Linked DNA regions of Neurospora crassa OR74A. The protein of the gene in region 1 purifies or fractionates together with the protein of each later gene. This does not show direct contact. Links are inferred from orthologs where the notes say so. Each region holds a gene or a part of one and is shown on either strand. Other genes may lie near its edges. The genes, in order: NCU16028, NCU02293 and cyt-26.

The links.
Region 2: the proteins of NCU16028 (region 1) and NCU02293 purify together in Saccharomyces cerevisiae (affinity purification with western blotting; 3 studies listed by BioGRID, with this or other methods). This does not show direct contact. The link is inferred for Neurospora crassa OR74A from reciprocal best matches to the Saccharomyces cerevisiae genes COX2 and COA6.
Region 3: the proteins of NCU16028 (region 1) and cyt-26 purify together in Saccharomyces cerevisiae (affinity purification with mass spectrometry; 3 studies listed by BioGRID, with this or other methods). This does not show direct contact. The link is inferred for Neurospora crassa OR74A from reciprocal best matches to the Saccharomyces cerevisiae genes COX2 and CYT1.

What each region holds. Positions count from the first base shown.
Region 1 is NC_026614.1:58,239-60,871, reverse strand, and holds NCU16028 (cytochrome c oxidase subunit 2), read right to left. Parts: upstream 1,344-2,633; coding exon 591-1,343; downstream 1-590. Other genes in the region: NCU16027 (ATPase subunit 9), read right to left, coding at 2,040-2,264. UniProt on the Saccharomyces cerevisiae protein: Component of the cytochrome c oxidase, the last enzyme in the mitochondrial electron transport chain which drives oxidative phosphorylation.
Region 2 is NC_026507.1:3,027,610-3,031,363, forward strand, and holds NCU02293 (hypothetical protein), read left to right. Parts: upstream 1-1,477; 5' UTR 1,478-1,782; coding exon 1,783-2,016; intron 2,017-2,443; coding exon 2,444-2,563; 3' UTR 2,564-2,911; intron 2,912-3,004; 3' UTR 3,005-3,019; downstream 3,020-3,754. Other genes in the region: NCU02294 (hypothetical protein), read right to left, coding at 1-441, 523-773; NCU02292 (hypothetical protein), read right to left, coding at 3,020-3,754. UniProt on the Saccharomyces cerevisiae protein: Involved in the maturation of the mitochondrial respiratory chain complex IV subunit MT-CO2/COX2. Thereby, may regulate early steps of complex IV assembly.
Region 3 is NC_026501.1:4,144,934-4,148,687, forward strand, and holds cyt-26 (cytochrome-26), read right to left. Parts: upstream 2,630-3,754; 5' UTR 2,396-2,629; coding exon 2,321-2,395; intron 2,078-2,320; coding exon 1,923-2,077; intron 1,775-1,922; coding exon 1,712-1,774; intron 1,620-1,711; coding exon 947-1,619; 3' UTR 335-946; downstream 1-334. Other genes in the region: mbp3 (methylated-DNA-binding protein3), read right to left, coding at 1-179; aro-7 (DAHP synthase), read right to left, coding at 3,445-3,605, 3,690-3,754. UniProt on the Saccharomyces cerevisiae protein: Component of the ubiquinol-cytochrome c oxidoreductase, a multisubunit transmembrane complex that is part of the mitochondrial electron transport chain which drives oxidative phosphorylation.

The DNA.
Region 1 (2,633 bases):
TTAAAAGGTTTTTGGATTTAAGCAAGGTTCCTTCCGCTAGGCTACGCCAGACTTCAGGAACTTGCTTGTTATTTTAACCCTTCCCCGCCCTGCAGTACTGCAGGGGGGGGGGCGGGTAGCCTTTTAAACCTAATTAACCTATAAAAATAATAATAATTAAAAGCACCCCCCTTAAGGGGGGGGTGCTTTCCAGTTAATGGGCCCCCCGCCCCCGAAGGGGGCGGGGTCCCCCGAATATTGTTTATAATATAACCCACCACCTCCCGGATGTTCCACTCCACTCGCTCCCCCCCGCAAACCTGCGGGGGGGGGAGCGAGTGGAGTTAATTCCGTTCCACTCCACTCCCCCCCTTAAGGGGGGGGGGAGTGGAGTTAATTCCATAAGTCATCCTCTTCATATTAGAAACTTTTTATCGCTACCCCCTCGCTCCCCCCCCGCAAACCTGCGGGGAGGGGGGGAGAGATAACCACTAGATGGCTTCATACTCAAATACATAGGGCCCCACGAATACCCCACACACCTTCGTGTGTGGGCCGTATTCGTGGGGTCCCCCGAGTTCCTTTATTTAGCCAAAAACTATTTTATCGTCTTACTGTTCTTCTAATCAAGTAAGGAATTTTTCTAGAGATACTGACTCTATAACTATAGGCATAGAACTGTGTAATATACCACAGATTTCAGAGCATTGACCATAGAATACTCCTTCTCTGTTAATAAAAACAGATACTTGATTTAATCTCCCAGGATAAGCATCACATTTAACACCTAAAGATGGAACAGCGAAGCTATGTATCACATCACCTGCAGTGATGATAAATCTAACGTGTGTTAGTTCAGGAAGGATAACTCTATTATCCACCTCTAACATTCTTAGTGCTCCTTCTTCCAAATCGGATTCCGGTACTATATATGAATCAAATTCTATAAATTCATCATTTGAATCTAAGAAATCAGGATATTGGTAACTTCAATATCATTGGTGCCCCTCTGCTAAAACTGACATTGAAGGATCACTAACTTCATCCATTAAATATAGCAACTTAAATGAAGGGAAAGCAATTAATATTAATATTACTGCTGGAGTAATAGTTCATATTAATTCGATTAATGTACCGTGATTTAAATATTTATGTGAAATTGGTGATTTTGTACTGATATAATTTCTTATTATAGATAATAAGATTCATCCTACACCAAATAGTATTACCACCAGATAGTACATAATATTGTCATGTAATTCAACTAAACCTTCCATCTGAGGAGTAGCACTATCTTGAAAATAGATACCTCATGGGCTTGGAGCATCAAAATTCATAATTAAATTATTAAATAATAATCCCATAAAAAAAGAAATAGAATATTCTATATTGAATATTAAACCATAATAATAAATATATTATATCTTTTCATAAAATATAGAATTTAAATATAACATTAAACTGTATTGTATATTAAGGCTAGGCTAATTCTTATCCACTAACGAAGTATACCCTGTGCCTAATGGGTTTTTATAGCCTGCTGCTCATAAGGTTAGGCTACGCTAGCGTCCTTTGTTTTTTCGGGGGACCCCGCCCCCTTCGGGGCGGGGGCCCAAAAAAATGAATTACCTTCGCTCAGCTTCGCACACTTCGCTCACTTCGCTCAGCTTCGCTCAGCTTCGCTCAGCTTCCCTCCCAAAAAAGTACCACCCTCCTCCACTCGCGTACCCCCTCCTTTGCTCAAGGTCCCCATCACATTTAATTATGCCCCCCTGCAGTATTGCAGGGCGGGGGAAAGATGGGGGCCGCCAAGGGGGGGGTTGAGTGGAGGAGGGTGGTCGCGATATTATGGCTAGCTAAATTATTAAGGCTGCTTCCTGCCTGCCTAGACTTCGTAGGCAGGAAGTAGGAGGGGGCCCCCCACGAATACCCCACACACCTTCGTGTGTGGGCCGTATTCGTGGGGTCCCTCGAAGCTAGCTAGCTAGCTAAGCAGGAAGAGCAGCCATATTTTTTATTTAAGCAGCCATACATCATTTTATTCCTAATCTCTATCATTACTATGCAACATAAAGAAGTAAAAAAGCCATCATCAAAGCAAATAATCCTGTCGCTTCCGAGAAAGCAAAACCTAAAATTGCATATGCAAATAATTGACTTTTTAACGAAGGGTTTCTTGAAACCCCTATTATTAATGAGCCAAATACAACTCCAATACCTATACCAGCTCCGATTAAACCTGTGGTAGCTAGCCCTGTTCCTATTATTTTAGCTACTTGTATCATTATATATACAATGGTGGAATCAAAAATTAACTAGAATCTAGTAACCTCTTCAATTCCACCACCGCAAAGCAGCAAATACCACTGAGGCTCCCGACAACAGTGTATTTACTGCTGTTGCAGTATATCTAATGATAATCAAGTAGCCATTAGGCTATCCCTAATGGCTACAATAATCATACGATAGCTAGCCAGTATATAACTGGCTAGCTATCGTAATCTTTAGTACATTACATATAAAGATTACATTACAATACATTACATTACATTACATGTAATGTAACATTACATTACAGTTACATTACTGTACATTATATTACATTACAGTTACATTATATTAAGTTACATTACAGTTACATTACAAAATATTAC
Region 2 (3,754 bases), on another chromosome or scaffold:
CCGCTGCCACTGGCGCCAGACATGGTGACCATTTCGTAATCCCCTCCTCCCAGATCGCCACGCGATCCCCGCTTGGTTCTCCCTCCTCCTCTTCCTCCTCCTCCTGTGATGAAGCCCTGTTCTTCGTCTCCTTGCCCTGCTCCTCCATCCCCGTTGGTAAAGTTGTTGTTGGTGGTGCTGTTCGTGGTGTTTCCTCCGCTGCCGCCGCCATGTCCACCAAAAGCAATAGGCTGCAGCTCTCTGTATCGACACCCCCATGACCCGAGCAAGAAGGAAGCCAGGGACGAAATGGCCATGGTCAACCACCAGGCTGTGTGGCGGGGTAAGGTGTGGTCGGGCGTGGTGTAGAGAGTGACGATGACGAGGTGGATGAAGTGCGTGGTGAGGGCAAAGTCGAGGATGAGCTTGGAGCGTTGGACGATGGCTGTTAGGGAGAGGGGTCTGTTTTTGGTGATACGTTAGCGAGGTTGATAGATCATCAAAGAAACAAAGGTAAGAGGGAGACAGAGGGAGAGTACTTACAGCACCAACCCGCCGACCAAACACCAGATAAAGCCGTTCAACCACCCCTGTGTGTTATCCCCCCTTACCGCCTCCCACCCGAACACCAAGTCCAGCGTGAAAGGATTTCCAGCTACGGCCGCCGTGAAGAACATGAGCACCAGGGCGGCAGTGTAGTAGATTGCTTGTAGCGCGGCGATCTGGCTGAGGATCTTGAGGGGCGGAAGCTCGGTTAGGGCGCCGGAGCGCGGGGGACGGCGGCGGCGGGGCATTGTGGTTGATGATGTTTCAAGCTGTATGTGATGCCAGATTCGGCTGAATGGTAGCTATGATTGTTCTCGATGGCGTTTCTATTCAGCGCAGTAATTGAACATGGAGGTTGGAACTTGGAGGTTGTCTGGGTAATTCGAGGGTGGTGTTCGAAGGGAGCTAGGTCGAAGGGGACCCTCGTTCGGTGTGAGGATTCCTGGGTGATTCGAGCATGTGGTTATGCAACAGCTCTTTGTTGCTGCTGTATCCTCCCTTGGTTCCTCGTAATGATTCTCCCCTAGAAACCATAAATGGAAAAGACTATGGAAAGATAGTATGTCAAAGTTTAGGTTTGCGACCACGGACGAAAGCCATCGTGTCACAACACAAGACACTCATCACAATGCAGCTGACAATGTCGTCTCCATTCAGTCCACACACGGGCAGGGGCTGACCCTGGTCCCTGCGTCCGCCCCGTCCGCTGCAAGATTACAGGGCACGTGCAGGGTTATCAATGGGGTGGAATCCAAATTTACCTACCAAAAGTCCGGGGGTTAGTGGTGGTGGGAGGGAAGAAGGAAGGTACCTGTATGTACTTCTGTACCTTCCATTTTGACCACCCACCTTGGATGGAAGCTCAGCTCGGGCAGCCAAGGAGCCCAGCACAAGTTGCCTGCCGCACAAACCTAAGCTCCAACTGAGGTACCTACCCGGTACATACCAAACTACTGATAGCGGGCCAAGAGCTCGATAAGCTTCCCATCCCAGAAGCTTGGCTCGGGAATCATTCGCGAATTCGATCCCAAGTTTCCCGTTTCCCCGTTTTCCAACCTACGTCCATATGTAACGGGAACCACTGCATACATCGCAATCAACACCTCGCTCCCAAATTCCACCCTTTGGTCCCGGCCCTTTCCATCTAAACCCAACTGAATCCTCCGTCTCCCGCCGTCCCGATACCGCCGGCTCCCTAAGAACACACCAAATCCCGACTCCAAAGCCGAAACGACCGCAGCACCGCAGCATTTCACAATGGTCCTAGGTCTCTTTGAACAATCCGAAGCCGACAAGCGCGCGGCCGAGGTGCGCGCGGGCACCGTTGCGCCTACACGCTCCGAGCGCCAAAAGTGCTGGATGGCGCGCGACGGCTACTTTGCTTGCCTGGACCGGAACAACATCATTGACGCCCTCAAGGACGAGAAGGCGGCCGCGAAGGCGTGCAAGGCCGAGAGCGCCGAGTTTGAGAAGGATTGCGCTGCTCAGTGGGTGAGTAGCATTTTTCGACCTATGTTTGTTTTTATCGATGCTTTTGGGGGACCACTTCTGAGCTGGATGATGGGGCTGGATGTGGTGGGGTTGGAGGTTTTGGGGAGGAGATGGGCAGGAGGAATAGGAAGAGGAGGATGAGAAAGAGGTATCTGGGACAGGCAATCGACAAGGAACAGCACTGCAAGCAGAGAATCTCCAACGCCCAGAAGGAGGGAAGGAAGGGATTCTAGAAAACAATATCAACCCTCCTACAGGAGAGCAAAACGAAAACAGCCAACAGCCAACAGCCAGCCAGCCAGGTCAGGCAACGCAAGTATAGGCATCTCAGACAAGACAGCAGCGCATACTATACACACACGCACACACACACACGCTCTCACCAGGACACACGCCAGCTAACCTCTCATTCTCTCCCATACAACAGGTTACATACTTCAAGAAGTGGCGCGTCCAGGACATTCAAAAGAAGGCTCGCCTAAAGGAGCTCGAGGCCCAGGGCGCCGTCAGGATGGACGTTAACACCGACTTCAAGGCCCGCGAGTAAATCGATGCTCTTCGGTTCATCCGATCCGGAACAATCCAATTCAAATTCGATGTCGTCTCTTAAAAGCGACTGGATGAGAAGACTGGGGGTGGGAGAAAGAGAAAAGAGGAGGGACGGTGTAAAGATAGTGTGTACTTGGTGTATGTACCGTATATATGCATGGGATAAGGCGTTTAAATTTGAGTCGATTGGGTATCTAAGGGGGAAATTCCGGTTTCCAACATTGGTCAAGTCGGGTTGTTTCACTGATATGGCCTGTTGGTTGAACAACGTTATGGTGAAGATGTTGATGGATCCTTTCGACCTAGTGAATGTTGGTTTATAGGAATGTCTAAAAGGGATATCAAGGTGCGTCCCTCCGATATCCAGACACCAACCTTCAATCTGCTTTCCGAGAGACAGCCACACCAGGAGTTCACTAACCAACAGTCAAGTCCTCAGCCGGTCAGGCGCCCATCAGTCTCCTGCCTCCTGGCTCGAATGCCTTGTAGGTGTATGGATAATAGTCTGAGTCGACCCCGAACGCTGCATCACTCCACCAACTACATCCTCGTCCAACTGCACCTCATGCTCGCCACGATCTACCGCGTCATCAGTAACCATGACATAATACCCAGCATGTCCGCAATGCGTGCATTCACAGGTAGACGGTGACGTGTCCGAAGGGTACCCATCACTCGAGTCCCCATCATTTTGGAGAGTGAGGTTGTCACCTCTTCCCTCCTCCGTCTCTGTCCACCCCGGACTTCCCCCGTCCTCCTGTGTACTCTTATCCTCCTCATTCCGACCTCGACCAAAATATTCCCCTTGTTCCCTGAGACATTGGTCCACGCGATTCAGATTCGGCGGCCATGAAAGCCGGGGGGTTTCCGCATTGGCGCCGCCCCCGGGACTCACGTCATCTTCGCGAGCCCCGGTAAACCTTGGGGATTCCAAATCGTAAAGACCGGGAGAACTCGACTGCTTTTCGGAAGGACTCTCATCACCCTCATCATCCTCTTGGTCGCCGTTGTCCCAGGAAGCGTTCCATATTTCTGACAAACGGCGAGACGCCGGTCTCTTCGCGCGAAATAATGATGACCCAAACGGTCCTTGAGCCGTAGGCGTCCCTGTGCCAGGTCGGGTAGCACCCTTACCTACGCCTGTTTGTTGTAGGGCGGGAGAGTTCACGGGCGGAAGGGGTGCTTCTCG
Region 3 (3,754 bases), on another chromosome or scaffold:
ACTGGTGGGGCGAAACCCGAGGTAAGCAGCGAGGCGAGGTAGTCTCGGTCTTGAGAGGAAGAGGAGAAGTCGACGTTGAAGTCATTGAGGATGTCATTGGCGAGGTCTGGTGACATGACATCGTTATATGGGAGGCGAGAGGCCTGTGATTGGGGTGGTGATAGTTTTGATGATGACATTTTGCTGGTTGTCAGTGGATGGAGAGTTTTGGATTTACATATGTGGTGTCCAGCAATCGTAGAATCAAAATGTGATTGAAAACTTCACGATGAGTTTGGGGTCAAGATGTTGTTGCTTGTCAGTGAGTGAATCGAAAAGGGAGGGGAGGGGGCCAAGACTTTGTTTGGAAGGCAAATCAAATGCCAAGCCAGGGGCATCCTCTGTGGCACTTCGTGCTGACATTTACCGTGATTCGGTGAAAGAGAGATTGCCAATCGAGAAATGTCAAGGCTTTCGAAGCTCATACTATATCTCAACTACTCTCGAAGTTAAAGGCGTACATGATGATGTAGCTGACAGGGAAATGGCCTTTACTCTTTGGCATCCGTTCAAATGCCCATGTCGTAATATCCGTATCCTGATCCACTCACATGCAAGTTCAGCTTGACCGTCATACCCATACCATCATACCCTGTCAGACACAGGCAATAACGTCTATGTTGTATTTGAGACCAGAAAATTTGATTTATACACTCTACGACCATCTTCATGTTCAACCCACACGCCCGCACATCTCCGCATTGCCCAGAGTTACCGATCCCGCCCCTGCCCATTCCTTTTCGTTTTGCTCTTTCTGACCGATGCGCAAGAGGAACATGGGGGAGCAAAATTTGGGCAGCAATAGTATATGATACATACACAGAAAAAGACAAGGAAAATCACGCACGTCTCACAACGGTTATTGTGTGAATGTCATGACTTTGCCCTTTGTTGTGGCAATGCTAAATTAGTGGCGGGTGGTGGACTCCTTGGGGGGATCGTAGACGATCTTCCTCGACTTGAGCCAAGCCCACTTGTAACGCTTAACATAGACGCTCAAGGCGAAGAGCACAGAGGTGACAACCAGAACCTTCATACCCATGCGCTTGCGGTCGTCCATCTCGGGCTCAGCAGCCCAGTTGAGGAACTCAACAACATCCTTGGCCATCTGGGAGGTGGAGGCGGGGGTGCCATCCTCGTAGTCGACGAGGCCGTCGTAGAGGACACGGGCCATGGCGATACCGGTACCGGGGAAGTAGGGGTTGAAGTTAAGGCCGGCGCCAACGGAAGCGCCAGCGGGAGGCTCATCGGGATAGCCGGTAAGGAGGGAGAAGATGTAGTCGCAGCCACCGTGGCGGGCCTTGACGATCAAGCTGAGATCGGGAGGAAGGGCACCGTTGTTGGCGAAACGGGCGGCCTCATCGTTCTTGTAGGGATCGGGGAGGTAGTCGGAAAGCTTGCCGGGGCGCTTCTCGATCTCGCCCTGGTCGTTGGGCTCGGTGTCGTACTCGTTCTCTTCGGCAAGAGCCTTGGCCTCATCGACGGTCAAGATGGTGCCGACAAGAGCGCGGTAGGGGACTCTGCTGAGAGAGTGGCACGAGGCGCAGACCTCACGGTACACCTGGAAACCTCTGCGAAGACTGCAGTCGGGCAAAAACAAAGTCGTGAGCCAGATAGTCATTTTGGATTGGAGGCGCGGCCTCGAATGGGCTGGATAGGAGTGGTTGCTTACGCTTGGTGATCAAAGGTCTTGAGCCACTGTTCGTGGACCCAGGGGTACTTGGTAGCATGGAGACTGCGTCAACGGTAAGCTTCGAGTCACTCCATGCCCAGATTCATGCCTATAGTCGAGCTCGGTCGTATATGCCTCAGAACCCATGAGGCAGACCTCGGTCCAGCGGCTAGAGCGGGGCGGATGGTCGGATCGATCGTAGGGGACTCACCCTTCCTCAGCCGGAGTCATGGCGGAAGCGAATCCATAGAGATGGTAGTACCAGGCGATCGAGCCGGCGGCGACGGCGGTGGCAGCGGCGGCAGCAATGTTCAGGCGGAGGGGAGACTCGGCAGCGGCGCCGGAGCTCTGGGTGGAAGCCGAACGCTGCCGGGCACGTCCGTTAGCTTTCCTCGAGGAGCGCGAGAGTGTGAAGGAGACAAGACAGGATGGCTCGGCCGGGGCGGGGATGGTCGGGCAACTGGGCCCCGGACCGGGAGCTCGCAGTAGGTTGACGGTAGCTCAAGCCGGCCCAGACCCAGCCATTCGAGTGGCGATGCGGCCGAGATCTGTTGTTTGGAGGGGCAGAGAGACGAGGACGAAAGAGTTGTCGAAGCAATCGAGACGAACCTTGGCAAATTTGAAGGCGCCATTTTTCGCGCTGGCAAAGGTGCGCGTCGAGCGCAGGCAGGTCCTCGCCAGCATGGTGGGCAAGCTGAGCGAAGCTTTAGGAAAGTATCGCGGGTTCGGGGGACAAGGCCAATTGGGTTGGCAATGTCGGTGACAGTATCAGGTCTGGCGGGCGGGAGGTCGAGCAGGTCCGTCCAGGTGCAAGGTCGGTCGATTCCCTTCACGTAGCGTCGTAGGTAGGACCGTAGGTTTCTTGAATTTCGGGAATCTTAGGAACACTCGCCATCTGATTGGCTGGGCCAATCACCGTGCAGCCTTTCGAGCTTTTACACTTCCCCTCGGCCCCGGCCGATGGATTTTCCGCACTAATTTACCTCATTCTGCCCGCGGGCCTCAGCGCTTTTTGAGACTACCTTGCTCAGTAAGGTAGACACCTCAGCGAGCCCAATCCCGACCTGCAAGTGGAAGTTTCACAAGCGACTAATCCAACTGGGCACAGCTGGGAGCTGGGCATCAGGATCAGGATCAGCATCAGTATCAGCATCAGCATCAGCCAGCATCGCCCCATGGAAATCATAAATGTCCAAGCTCTCGCTGCCCGCGGTCCGCCCCTTCTGTCTTTTCAGCTCACACGGCGACCCAGCGTGACCGGACCTAGCCGAGGAAAAGCTGCCAAGGAAAGCCAGGTTTGAAGCTATACACCACACATACATACCTATGCCGTGGCCCCGTAATCGCAGGTGAAGCTCAGATTTGGTCACCACGGCTATCACGCTTCACACCAACACATCACCACAATTGCATCCCCAAAAAAAAAGGCAACGCAAAACTGTAGTCGAACATGGACGATCCTAGAGATTATCATCGAAAGAAATCCAAGGTAATTGTTTCGTTTTGAGATCCAGACCCGCTCCATCTTTTACCATCTTCTATTGTCTCGACGGCCATTTCCCAAGATGCATTAATACACGCTCTTTATCAAAACACACCACATGCAGAAATGTCAGCTTTTGTGTTCCCATCCCCGCGCCAGCATATATTCGGCATCCCTCACTTAGGGTTCGTGAACCCCTATCAAATGACCCATAAACCATAAAGCAAACAAGACCAGGAATTGGCATGACTTAGGCAGCGGCGTTCTTGCTCAGGACTTCTCTCCTCTTTTTGACGGCCTGCGCAAGCGTGTCGAGAGTGGCGACAGTGTCCTCCCAGCCAATACAAGCATCAGTGATACTGACACCGTACTTGAGGCCGCACTTGCCTTCCTCGGGCACCTTCTGGTTACCTGTACGTTGTGTTAGCGAACAGCTTCAAATTTAGACGGTCATATGCCCCCAATAAAAAAAATAAACAAAATAAAAAGACTTGCCCTCGTTGATGTTGCTCTCAATCATGACGCCCATGATACCAGTTTCGCCGTTCTCAAGTTGTTGC